Arabidopsis thaliana: one gene and its partner. The protein of the gene in region 1 interacts with the protein of each later gene in a pairwise test. Each region holds a gene or a part of one and is shown on either strand. Other genes may lie near its edges.

Evidence for each region. Proteins that work in one complex are often made in the same cells at the same time.
Region 2: the proteins of TBL18 (region 1) and PPT2 interact in a protein complementation assay, tested with the Arabidopsis thaliana proteins (one large-scale study listed by BioGRID).

The regions. Positions count from the first base shown.
Region 1 is NC_003075.7:12,967,513-12,973,144, forward strand, and holds TBL18 (TRICHOME BIREFRINGENCE-LIKE 18), read left to right. Parts: upstream 1-2,046; 5' UTR 2,047-2,239; exon of another isoform or gene 2,240-2,476; 5' UTR 2,477-2,674; coding exon 2,675-3,194; intron 3,195-3,701; coding exon 3,702-3,976; intron 3,977-4,085; coding exon 4,086-4,892; 3' UTR 4,893-5,132; downstream 5,133-5,632. Other genes in the region: AT4G25370 (Double Clp-N motif protein), read left to right, coding at 5,235-5,452, 5,556-5,591. UniProt on the Arabidopsis thaliana protein: May act as a bridging protein that binds pectin and other cell wall polysaccharides. Probably involved in maintaining esterification of pectins. May be involved in the specific O-acetylation of cell wall polymers.
Region 2 is NC_003074.8:216,296-221,111, forward strand, and holds PPT2 (phosphoenolpyruvate (pep)/phosphate translocator 2), read right to left. Parts: upstream 2,842-4,816; 5' UTR 2,562-2,841; coding exon 2,265-2,561; intron 2,154-2,264; coding exon 2,031-2,153; intron 1,963-2,030; coding exon 1,810-1,962; intron 1,702-1,809; coding exon 1,616-1,701; intron 1,515-1,615; coding exon 1,433-1,514; intron 1,346-1,432; coding exon 1,226-1,345; intron 1,142-1,225; coding exon 1,064-1,141; intron 957-1,063; coding exon 827-956; intron 735-826; coding exon 652-734; 3' UTR 510-651; downstream 1-509. Other genes in the region: AT3G01560 (proline-rich receptor-like kinase, putative (DUF1421)), read left to right, coding at 3,589-3,897, 4,018-4,299, 4,468-4,816. UniProt on the Arabidopsis thaliana protein: Phosphoenolpyruvate/phosphate translocator that transports phosphoenolpyruvate (PEP), 2-phosphoglycerate and 3-phosphoglycerate.

The DNA.
Region 1 (5,632 bases):
AGAAAAATAAGAAAACAAGTACGTATACTTAACGCTAATAAATAGCAACCGACTTTTGAATTATTTGATTTAACTCTTTAAATTATTTCTTAGAAAGAGTTATGGAAGAATTAAAAGTTTTAAAAACATTTGATGCTAATCTAGTTTTTCTTTGGTGACTTTTTTTCAACCAATTTGAGATGTTTTAAATGGGGATCTGACAAGTAACTATTGTACCAGGAATACGCACCATTTCCTTTTTTTGTGCTTATAAATACATATTTATTTATTTTATTTATATAATAATTTGAAAACTTAGAAATTACACTAATTTATTAATTCTTTACTTACAAACAATTGGTTTTAGTTTTTAAAATTATCCAAGGCTGATTTCACCTAATTAAAATAACCATGACTAGATTTTAACCCGCGGACAACTTATTTTTTAAATTAGTATATATAAAAGTTTGCAAATTAAATCTATTTATTTTTATTTTATAGTTTACAATTGTTATTAAATAACGTCTTACCAAACCCGTCTCGCCAAATCCGCCCCGTAAAAAAAAACCGCGGTACACCGCTAATTTAAATATATAATTAAAAGAAATATTTTACGGGATTGCAATTGTATTTTGGTTTGTCAAACAAATATTTGTTTAAAATAGTTGCCAAAATCTAGTTCAAATTTTGGAGAAAAAAGATTTATTGGATAGATAAAGAATATATTTAGGTGGGTTTTGCTCATTTTAAGGGATTGCAATTATATTTTTGTTTGTCAAACATTTTTTGTTTTAAATAGTTGCTGAATATATTTGGAATATTTTTAGTTTATTAATCAATTTATTGCTGGAAAAAAATCAATAATTAATACTCAATGGCAGCCTAGTAAATAAGTCCCAACTCTAAGATTTATTTCACAAAATGGCTGCAAAAATGTATATATAGATGATTCATTATTTCATTTTATGCGGTAGGAGTAAAAACAACATTAACTAGCAAAAACTATAATACACACACAACAGTAACTACTCATCGAGTATGGCATTCATGGATACGAATCAAATCTCAAATCGTATAAGCCTGGCCATTATTTTATTTTACAATATTTGATAATGTGCTACCTAAATATCAAAATTTTAGAATATTCTGAAATAAAATGTCGAATTTTTGTGATAGCCTTAAATTACTACATGCTCACGTATGTAAATTTTCTATTCTTTCATAGTTAATTTTCTATTAAAATGTACAATTTCCAGTTTGATGGTATGAAGATCAACAAAGTACCATAAAAATGTATAATTTCTATTTCTTCCTAATTAATATTCTTTAAAGTGTAATTTTCCAGTTCATCCTTGTTAATTTTCTTAAATAATAAAATGTAAAACTTACAAATTTCACGGACTTTATTAACAGAAATGTAAATAATTGTAAATAAATGTAAACATACTGTGTCACAAGAAGACATGACAAAAAATAAAAACAGTAGAAATAAACTTTTTTCTGGGTGCGTGTGGTAAAACAAACATGGGGACTGATCCAATGAAGTTTATCGCAATTTCTGGAATTTCAGTCGGTGTATTAATCATCATCGCACTGATAGTGGCTTATGCCTGCTATCGTGCCCGAAAGGAAGGACCAGTCAGAGGCGACGGACGACTCACACCTATTGTAATGATGATATGATATATCACCTATTTTCGATCTTTTTCTAATAATTTATTTTATGATGCAACTTTTTAGATTACTATATACTATAGAAGAGCATATTGTAATTCTATTTTACCTATATAATAATAAATAATATTTCGGCGATTTTGTCATATGCTGGAGTGTTACATTAGATGATGACTAGTAGGGTTTTTTTTTTTATGTGAAAACAACAATCGTTGTGTCATATAACGCGAAGTGACAAACAAACAATTCGAAATATTAGCAATGTTACAAAATTCGAAATATACGCAATGTTATGGTGGTGTTGACCGAAGGGTAGTTTCGTAACTTTACATCATCGCGTGGTCGTATACGCGCCGATGAGATCACAGACGGCATTAATGGGCTCCGGAAGAAGAAACAAATGATTAATTTAAGGAATAAATTACCACTAAATTCGTTTGATTATTTCCGGAAAACAATTAACTAATAAAACTATAACTAACCTTTGTTTAATTTTTTGATTTCGCGTCTTCACTGTTGTGGATTTCTTCTGAATCTTCTGAGCTCGCTTCACCTACAAGAAGACAACAAGGATCATTTTCTCTAGGTTCGTAGATTCTCTTTCTTCTTCTTCTTCGTTTGGATCTGCTTAGTGAAGAAGATAATCTTCTGAAAAATTGTTTGTTTTTTTTCTGAAAATCTGAATACGTAATGATTTGAGCTGAATCTGAGTTAGATTCACATTTATATTCTGGATTTGTGCTATTTGATGATTTATTAGATCGATCATCTTGTTTTCTTCTTTCGCCTTTAAGTATGTTTGCTCATAGTGTTGCTCTTCCAGATTCCAGATCCTGAAGAAGGTGAAATCTTATCTGTGATCCAGTGGAAGATTGAATCAAGTAACAGATTCACTTAGTTCACTTGCGTATTGCATGCCCCTGAAGATAACATTTTGAATAATGTTGATATTGAATTATCACCTATAAGCTCTGGTTCTTGTTGCTTGTATTGGTTCTGGGTATCTACTAGTGAAGAAACCATGGCTTTTGGTTCTCCTAGGAATAATTCTATATTAGCTGCGGCTGGATTTCCTCGGAAAGTGTCTACAGTTGCAATTGCTATTGGTGGTTTGGCATCATTCTTTGTTTTCGGATTGTTGCTTCGTCTTTCGTATCCGAATAGTTCTTCAGTTGGTGGCATATTTTATGGGATAGGGAATCCTGAACAAGTTCATGTCCCTTTATCTTTGAGCAACCATACTGTCAATATCCTTCAGAAGAGTAGTGACATCAATGCGTTTGATAAAAATCTGACTTCTGATTCTAGCTCTGGCTTACCTGTTGTTGTTAGCAAAAGTATACCACCTCCAGATTTCAGTAGTGATAGGAAGTTGGAGACACCTTTGACACAAGAAAAAGAGGATTTGGTTTCTTCGGATATAACTGAAAAGACTGATGTTCAATCAGGTGAACGTGAAACCAATGTTTCCAAGGCTGAAGACACTCCAAGTGCATCATCTCCTCCAGATGATGTCTCTGAAACTGCTTCAGCAGAACCAGGTACTGTTGTTATCTTTTAAACGCTTATTTCCGTAGCTTTTGTCGTATTTGGAACATTTTGAGTTATGGTAGCTTAAATTTCAATAAACAAAGACTAAGCTAGTGTGGGAATGTTATAGAACATTTAGTTTTGCATTTCTATGGAAAGGCGTAAGTTTCTGAGAAGTTTTAAAGAAATTCAGCGGCTAAACTCTTAGCTATAGACCTACTGTAATTATTCTAGCCGAGGACTGAATATAGCAGATTAGAGTAAAAACTTGGTTAGGGAGCAGATAGTGAGTGCTGGGCTTGTAAGGTGGTCTCAGCATTTTGTTTTAGGGGTTAGAGTTTCTAGGCTTTGTGGGCATTTGGTTGAGAGTTCTACCTGTTTTGGTGAATTGGAATAAGAAGAGCAGTTTCATAGATCTGTTCTTGTCAGTTTCCCTTGCTTCTCATGATTCTAGCTGTTCGATGTTTTATATTTCTGTTATGAGTTTGTCGCTTACTCAAATCTTTGATTGCTTGTAGAGTGTGATTTGTATCAAGGTAGTTGGTTTTATGATCCTGGGGGACCTCTCTACACGAACAACTCTTGCCCTGTCCTGACGCAGATGCAGAATTGCCAGGGAAATGGAAGACCTGACAAGGGATATGAGAACTGGAGATGGAAACCGTCTCAGTGTGAGCTTCCTCGGTTTGATGCCAGAAAATTTCTTGAACTTATGAAAGGCAAGACACTGGCCTTTATAGGAGATTCAGTAGCTCGTAATCAGATGGAGTCCATGTTGTGCCTTCTTTGGCAGGCAAGTAATTCAATTTAATGGTGAAAACCGGTATAAGGGATCTATTGTGTTGCTTTATTCAGCTTCAGGAGATCGTATGTATTATATTAAAGTAGGTTTCTGTTTTCAGGTTGAAACACCAGTCAATCGTGGGAGCCGAAAGATGCAGAGATGGTATTTTAAGCAATCATCAGTAATGATTGCCCGTATTTGGTCATCTTGGCTTGTTCATCAGTTCAACGAAAAATTCGATTATGCTCCTGAAGGTGTCACAAAACTAAAGCTGGATCTTCCTGATGAGCGCATAATGGAAGCTATCCCGAAATTCGACGTGGTTGTCCTCTCATCAGGGCACTGGTTTGCAAAGCAGTCTGTCTACATATTGAAAGAAGAGATCGTGGGAGGCCAATTATGGTGGCCAGACAAATCAAAACCCATGAAAGTCAATAACGTGGATGCATTTGGAATATCAGTTGAAACAATCCTTAAGTCCATGGCTACACACCCGAACTACAGCGGTTTGACCATTGTGAGAACATTCTCACCTGATCATTACGAAGGTGGTGCTTGGAACACAGGTGGATCATGCACGGGGAAAGAAGAACCCATCCTTCCAGGGAAGCTAGTGAAAAACGGATTCACAGAGATAATGCATGAGAAGCAAGCGACAGGATATAACCAAGCCGTCGATAAAGTCGCGGAGAATTTGAAGCTAAAACTAAAGCTGATGGATATCACAGAGGCATTTGGATATCGCCATGATGGTCATCCTGGTCCATTCAGAAGTCCTGACCCTAACAAGATCACTAAACGGGGACCAGACGGACGGCCTCCACCTCAGGACTGCTTGCACTGGTGCATGCCAGGACCAGTCGATACATGGAACGAAATGGTCTTGGAGCTCATAAGGAGAGACAGGAAAAGCTCATCAACTTGACTTGGTTTGAAACTCAAAGGATGAGAGAGCATATTACACGACTTATACTATTAATCTGATTCTTGGTTACTGATAAACTCAAAGATAAACTCACTTGTAGATTTGTGCTAGGCACGGTGAGTTAGGATTAGAATTTGTTCCACTATACTTGTTGGTTCGTTTGTCCTGAGATTGAAATTTAAGATTTGGGAGTTATGAGTTCAAGTTTATTCATACTAGTCGAAATTTCATAAATTATATAAACTGGGGGGGGCGCATTTGCAAAATAGCTGAGTAATAATCGCCTATCTCACTGACTCACCCAAAGCCCGACCAAAAGCTTTTGATTCCTCAAGAGTGAAAATGGCGTCGTACACAGTCTCCTTTATCCCTTTGACGCTCTCTAATCCTCGGATCTTTGTTTCGAGACAGAATGGATCTCCCTCGTCTTCTTCTCGGATTCCTCTAACGTCTTCTCTGTTAGGTAAGAAGCTTCTGGCGACACAACCGTCGCATCGCTGCTTCGTCCCCAAGCTCCGGTGCTTGACCTCGGCCAGCACGGTCTTAAACGTCCCTATTGCGTTAGTTTTTTTATCTGACAGCTCTTTTACATCTTTATCATTTCTGGGTTTTTCCTTTCACCACGGATATTGAAGCTTAGGGTGTTAAGGTTGAATTTTTCAGGCAACCGGAGAATGGTTCTTCGGATAAGATCCCAAAGTGAGTCTCACTCCAAATTACGTATAGAATTTGTAATTGTA
Region 2 (4,816 bases), on another chromosome or scaffold:
GAACAATAAAAAAAAAAACTAACACGTAATAAAAGGATTCGATCAGAAATCAGAATTAAACACGACCAAACCGACGCAATCTTAGAGAGAAACTAGAAATTGAAACAGAGAGCTTAAATACCAAATTCTAGGAATCTAAGTCAGGATTGAGGAATTTTGTCAACAGATAAACGCGTACCTGATTTGATATTCAAGAGTCGAGTTTGAATGTGGAAAACGAACCAGCAGATTGGATTAAAGACTCGGGTCAAATCTGTGAACTCGAGCTTTTGAGATTCCCTTTTTTGGTTTCCCTCTCTATAACAATCTACGCCACAAGAAGAAGCGTAGAAGCAAGAGAGAGAAAGTTAGACCAAAAGCAAGGATGTCCAACTTTAGACCGTCTCTGTTAGTTAGGTTTATAAAACCATCCATCGTCGCAACAAAAATATCTGCACCTTAATGAGCCGCCTCCTTCTTTTGGGCCCTTTTGGGCCACTCCAATTTTATTCCTAGGCCCATTATATAATTTCCATGTAAAGAATAGAATTATTTAATGAGATTAGTTGAATTTAACAAAAGTTAATAGTGTCATGTAAAAACGACATGGATGAACAAAAATATCAACATTTTTCGCATAAATAATAAACTAAGAGCTTCTATATACAAAATTCAAGACATTTTTGGATTTGGTTTGACTTGGACTCGTTTGGCTCTGCTGTACAAATATACTCCAGCTAGTGCAGTCGCGGTACCTGTTTATTTAACAAGTGATTATATATTGCTTCAATAAAATGAACAAGTGTAACAAATCCTTTACTAATATATACTACTAGTAGTTGTTTACCTATAGAGTTAAGAGGTGAGACTGGAGTTTTGAAGAAAAGAATGGATGATGTAATAACCACCACACGCTTCACGCAGTTCCCTACAGAGTGTGTTACTGGAGACACCATCTCCAATATCATATACGATACCTACAACAACAACCCCAATTTTTATGTGTTGATTAGAAGCCTAACACTAACCGACTTTACAAAATTCAGTACAGTTTTTCTGAAACGGAGGAACTAGACGGACCAACCTGTTGGTAGCTATGCAAGCAAACACCAGCAAGTAGAGACATGATGCAAAACTCTTTTACCGACAAACCCTGGCTTGTCTGTCAAGCAACCACATACAAACACACATTAGTTCTTTCTCTTTTAGATCATCTAGCTATATCGGTTTATGCTTTTCCACTTACTGCTACTTGTAAATGCGAAGGAGTAACCTTGAACCCATCGATGAGGATTGCTAAAGGAACCAGTAAGATAAAGGAGATAATGGTTATTATAGAGAAAAGGTTGATGTTGTCCAAAGCGTCCTGTTTCAATATACAAACATTAATAGATTTCGATTACTAGTTTCTTTCTTGAGATCATAAGGATAACTTATATTCAAACTCTTTTACCTTTCCAACCATGAATTTTTTACTGAGGACATTGCGTGATTGATTCGTCACATTAGAAGCCATTGCACTGCAGAAACCAATCCTGGTTTATCCCAATACCATGAATTAATCAAATCAATTAAAACTTCATCAAAAGTTTATCAAGAATACTATTTTTTTTGTTCTTGTTCTTGTTGTTCATACCAATTGAAAGAAGCTTCTGTGAAAGATGCTAAAGAGACTCCAGCGACAATAGGTAACAACGAACAAACAATCCACAGACTCGGCCACTGGACATTAATCAAAATTTCAAAGATTATGTCTGAAAATATAACTCTCTTGTATAATCTAAGGTTATAGATTAAGTCTGAAACAGAGCGTATCTTTGTTTTGCTTACCTCACCGAGCAAGAGAACAGAAAGCAAGACGGTGAAGAAAGGCTCCATTGCTTTGATAGTGTGGGTGAAAGAGACATTTACTCTTCCTAAGCTCACATTTGTTAACAAGTTCCCTAACGTGTGAGCTACTGCTAGTTGTACGATCACCGTAAACTGGAGAGGATTACAATTGAATGAATCTCTCTGTTTTTAGGGTTTGACGGAATCAATATTTGATTTACCTGAGAAGGAGAAAATTTGGGGCGTGGATGGAGTTTAAGGAGCCACATTATAGCAATCATCAACGTTCCACACCCTAATTGAAATGCTGTTACAGTCGCTGGATATGGATAAACCCTAAGTACCTGGATCGATGAATGAACAAGTTTCATACTTGTATGAAGACTGATAATAGGTTCGAGTACTGCTTCTTGCATTGAAATGGACTGTTTAATTAAATGAAGCAAAGAAGGAACCTGTTTGTTGAAAATGTTGTAGTAGATATTGAGAAGGTACCAAACTCCAAACATGCCTCCTAGCTTCAACCCTTTAACCAAACTTCCAGATTCCAAATCTCCTCCTTCCACATTCTCCGGAACTGTAGCTGACTTGAGCTTGAAGCCATTAAATCTAAGGTTCGGTCTCCAAGGATAAGAGTTAGAAGATGAAAAAGCTCTGCTTCTTCTGCTCAACGCTGATTCAGGAGTAGACTTGGCAAGGAACAATGGAGATGGAAGTCTTGGATTTGGATTTAGAAATGTGAGAGCGAACATAATTTTTTCCTCTTATCAGATGCTCCAAGATGTGCATAAATCCTCCGGCATTTGTTGGAATTTCTCACAAGTAACCGACTCTTGCTAACTTTTTCTTCTTCCTCTATTGGTAAGAGTTATGTTACATGAGTCTACCTCCTCATTTTCATGTAAGAAGAAAAAAGTTTGTTTTGTTTTTGGATATACTGCAAACTTGATATTAGTATTATTTAGAAGAGTTGTCTTTATTATGTGACTTTTCTCTCGTTCTACTATCTGAATGTTTTTGAGTATGATAAAAATAACTCACATGCCGATGCCGACATTTTTTTCAATATAACATTGGCTCGATTTTATTTATCTTTCCTCATAAGAGCCAGTGGTATTTGCCGGTATTGTTTCTTCTCATGTTCTCCATTCCATGTGTGTTCTGTAAATAATGTTATGGAAATGATTTGACATACTTGGTCACTCATTTCTTTACAAAGGGGCCGTGGTTTTCTTCGTTTATAATAATATCAAAAAGTTGGTAACGCTATAAATAATTATTTAAAATAAAGTTTACGTACGAACATGACAAATTACTGACCACAACACCAATTGATTTTTAGTGTGGAATTTGAAAATGTCAGGGGAGAATTGTATGGATGATATGAAAGGGGCCGCGTTGAAACATGTGGATGTTGTATTGTATGCTCCTGAGTCCACCCTTTTCTTTCCGTGTTATTTCATACTATTACAAATAAGGTTGGTCCCATTGCTTTGATCACATTATTGATTATACCATTTACTTATTATGTCAGTGTTGGTACAGGTCATTGATCACAATTTGGGCTTTAAACGGAGAGGATGGAAACTGAATTCTAAATACATTTCGGCCCATTTAGGGTCCATAACCTTCTACGCCAATCAGAAGGTACGTCGACATGAGCAACTTGGTCAATTTTATGACATAAATAAAATAAAAATAAAAAAATAAAAATCGATCTGAGGGGTTTTAGAAAGAAAAGAAGAAATTCGGGAGTCGGAGAAATTGTCGGGTGGATCGATGAATACTTGTCAGTTTATGGATAAGCAGATAATGGATCTATCTTCTTCTTCATCTCTACCTTCCACTGATTTCATCGATCTGATGAACAATCATGACGGCGATGATCACCAGAAGAAGCAGGTGATCGGCGATAATGGATTGGACTCTAAGAAAGAAGTGATCGTTCCTAGCTATGATTTCCATCCCATACGTCCCACCACCGCCGCACGATTGTCTCACTCGGCTTTAGATCTCGCCGGATCCACGACTAGGGTTAATTGGTCCGCCTCTGATTATAAACCCGTTTCCACTACTTCGCCTAACACTGTACTTACTACTACTTCTCGAATCTTCCTCTCTTTTTTTTTTTTGTACATGATTCTACATCATAAGCCTATAAGAGGACTTGTCTATTTCTGATTGATTTGTTTTTTTTTATTCGGCCAGAATTTTGGATCTCTCGATTCTATTGAACCTTCCAAGTTGGTTCCTGACAAGGGTCAAAATGTGTTTAACACGACTATTATGTCCGAGATTATAGATAGGACAATGAAGAAACATACCGATACCTTGCTTCATGTAATGGAAGGTGTTAGTGCACGTCTTTCACAGCTGGAGACCAGAACCCACAACCTCGAGAACCTGGTGGATGATCTCAAAGTTTCTGTTGACAATAGTCACGGCAGCACTGATGGGAAAATGAGACAGCTTAAAAATATCCTTGTAGAGGTAACTTTGCTGATTGCTTTTCGAAACTAGAATTTATAGCTTTTCCTGGCAACTATTGATCTTTTTTATACAGAAATTTTCTCATTTATGAACATGTCTTTTCTTGAACCAGGCTTATAGTACTTTCTGTTGATACTTCAGTTCCTTCTTTATGCGAATGGTGTGCAGGTGCAGAGTGGTGTGCAACTATTGAAGGACAAACAAGAGATTCTCGAAGCTCAGCTTTCAAAGCATCAGGTATCCAACCAGCATGCCAAAACACACTCTTTACACGTTGATCCCACTGCTCAATCGCCCGCTCCAGTCCCTATGCAGCAGTTTCCTCTTACTTCTTTCCCACAGCCACCATCTTCCACTGCTGCTCCTTCCCAGCCACCTTCCTCGCAACTACCACCTCAGCTACCTACGCAGTTTTCTTCTCAACAAGAGCCGTATTGTCCTCCGCCTAGTCATCCTCAACCACCTCCATCAAACCCGCCTCCTTACCAAGCTCCTCAGACCCAAACGCCGCATCAAC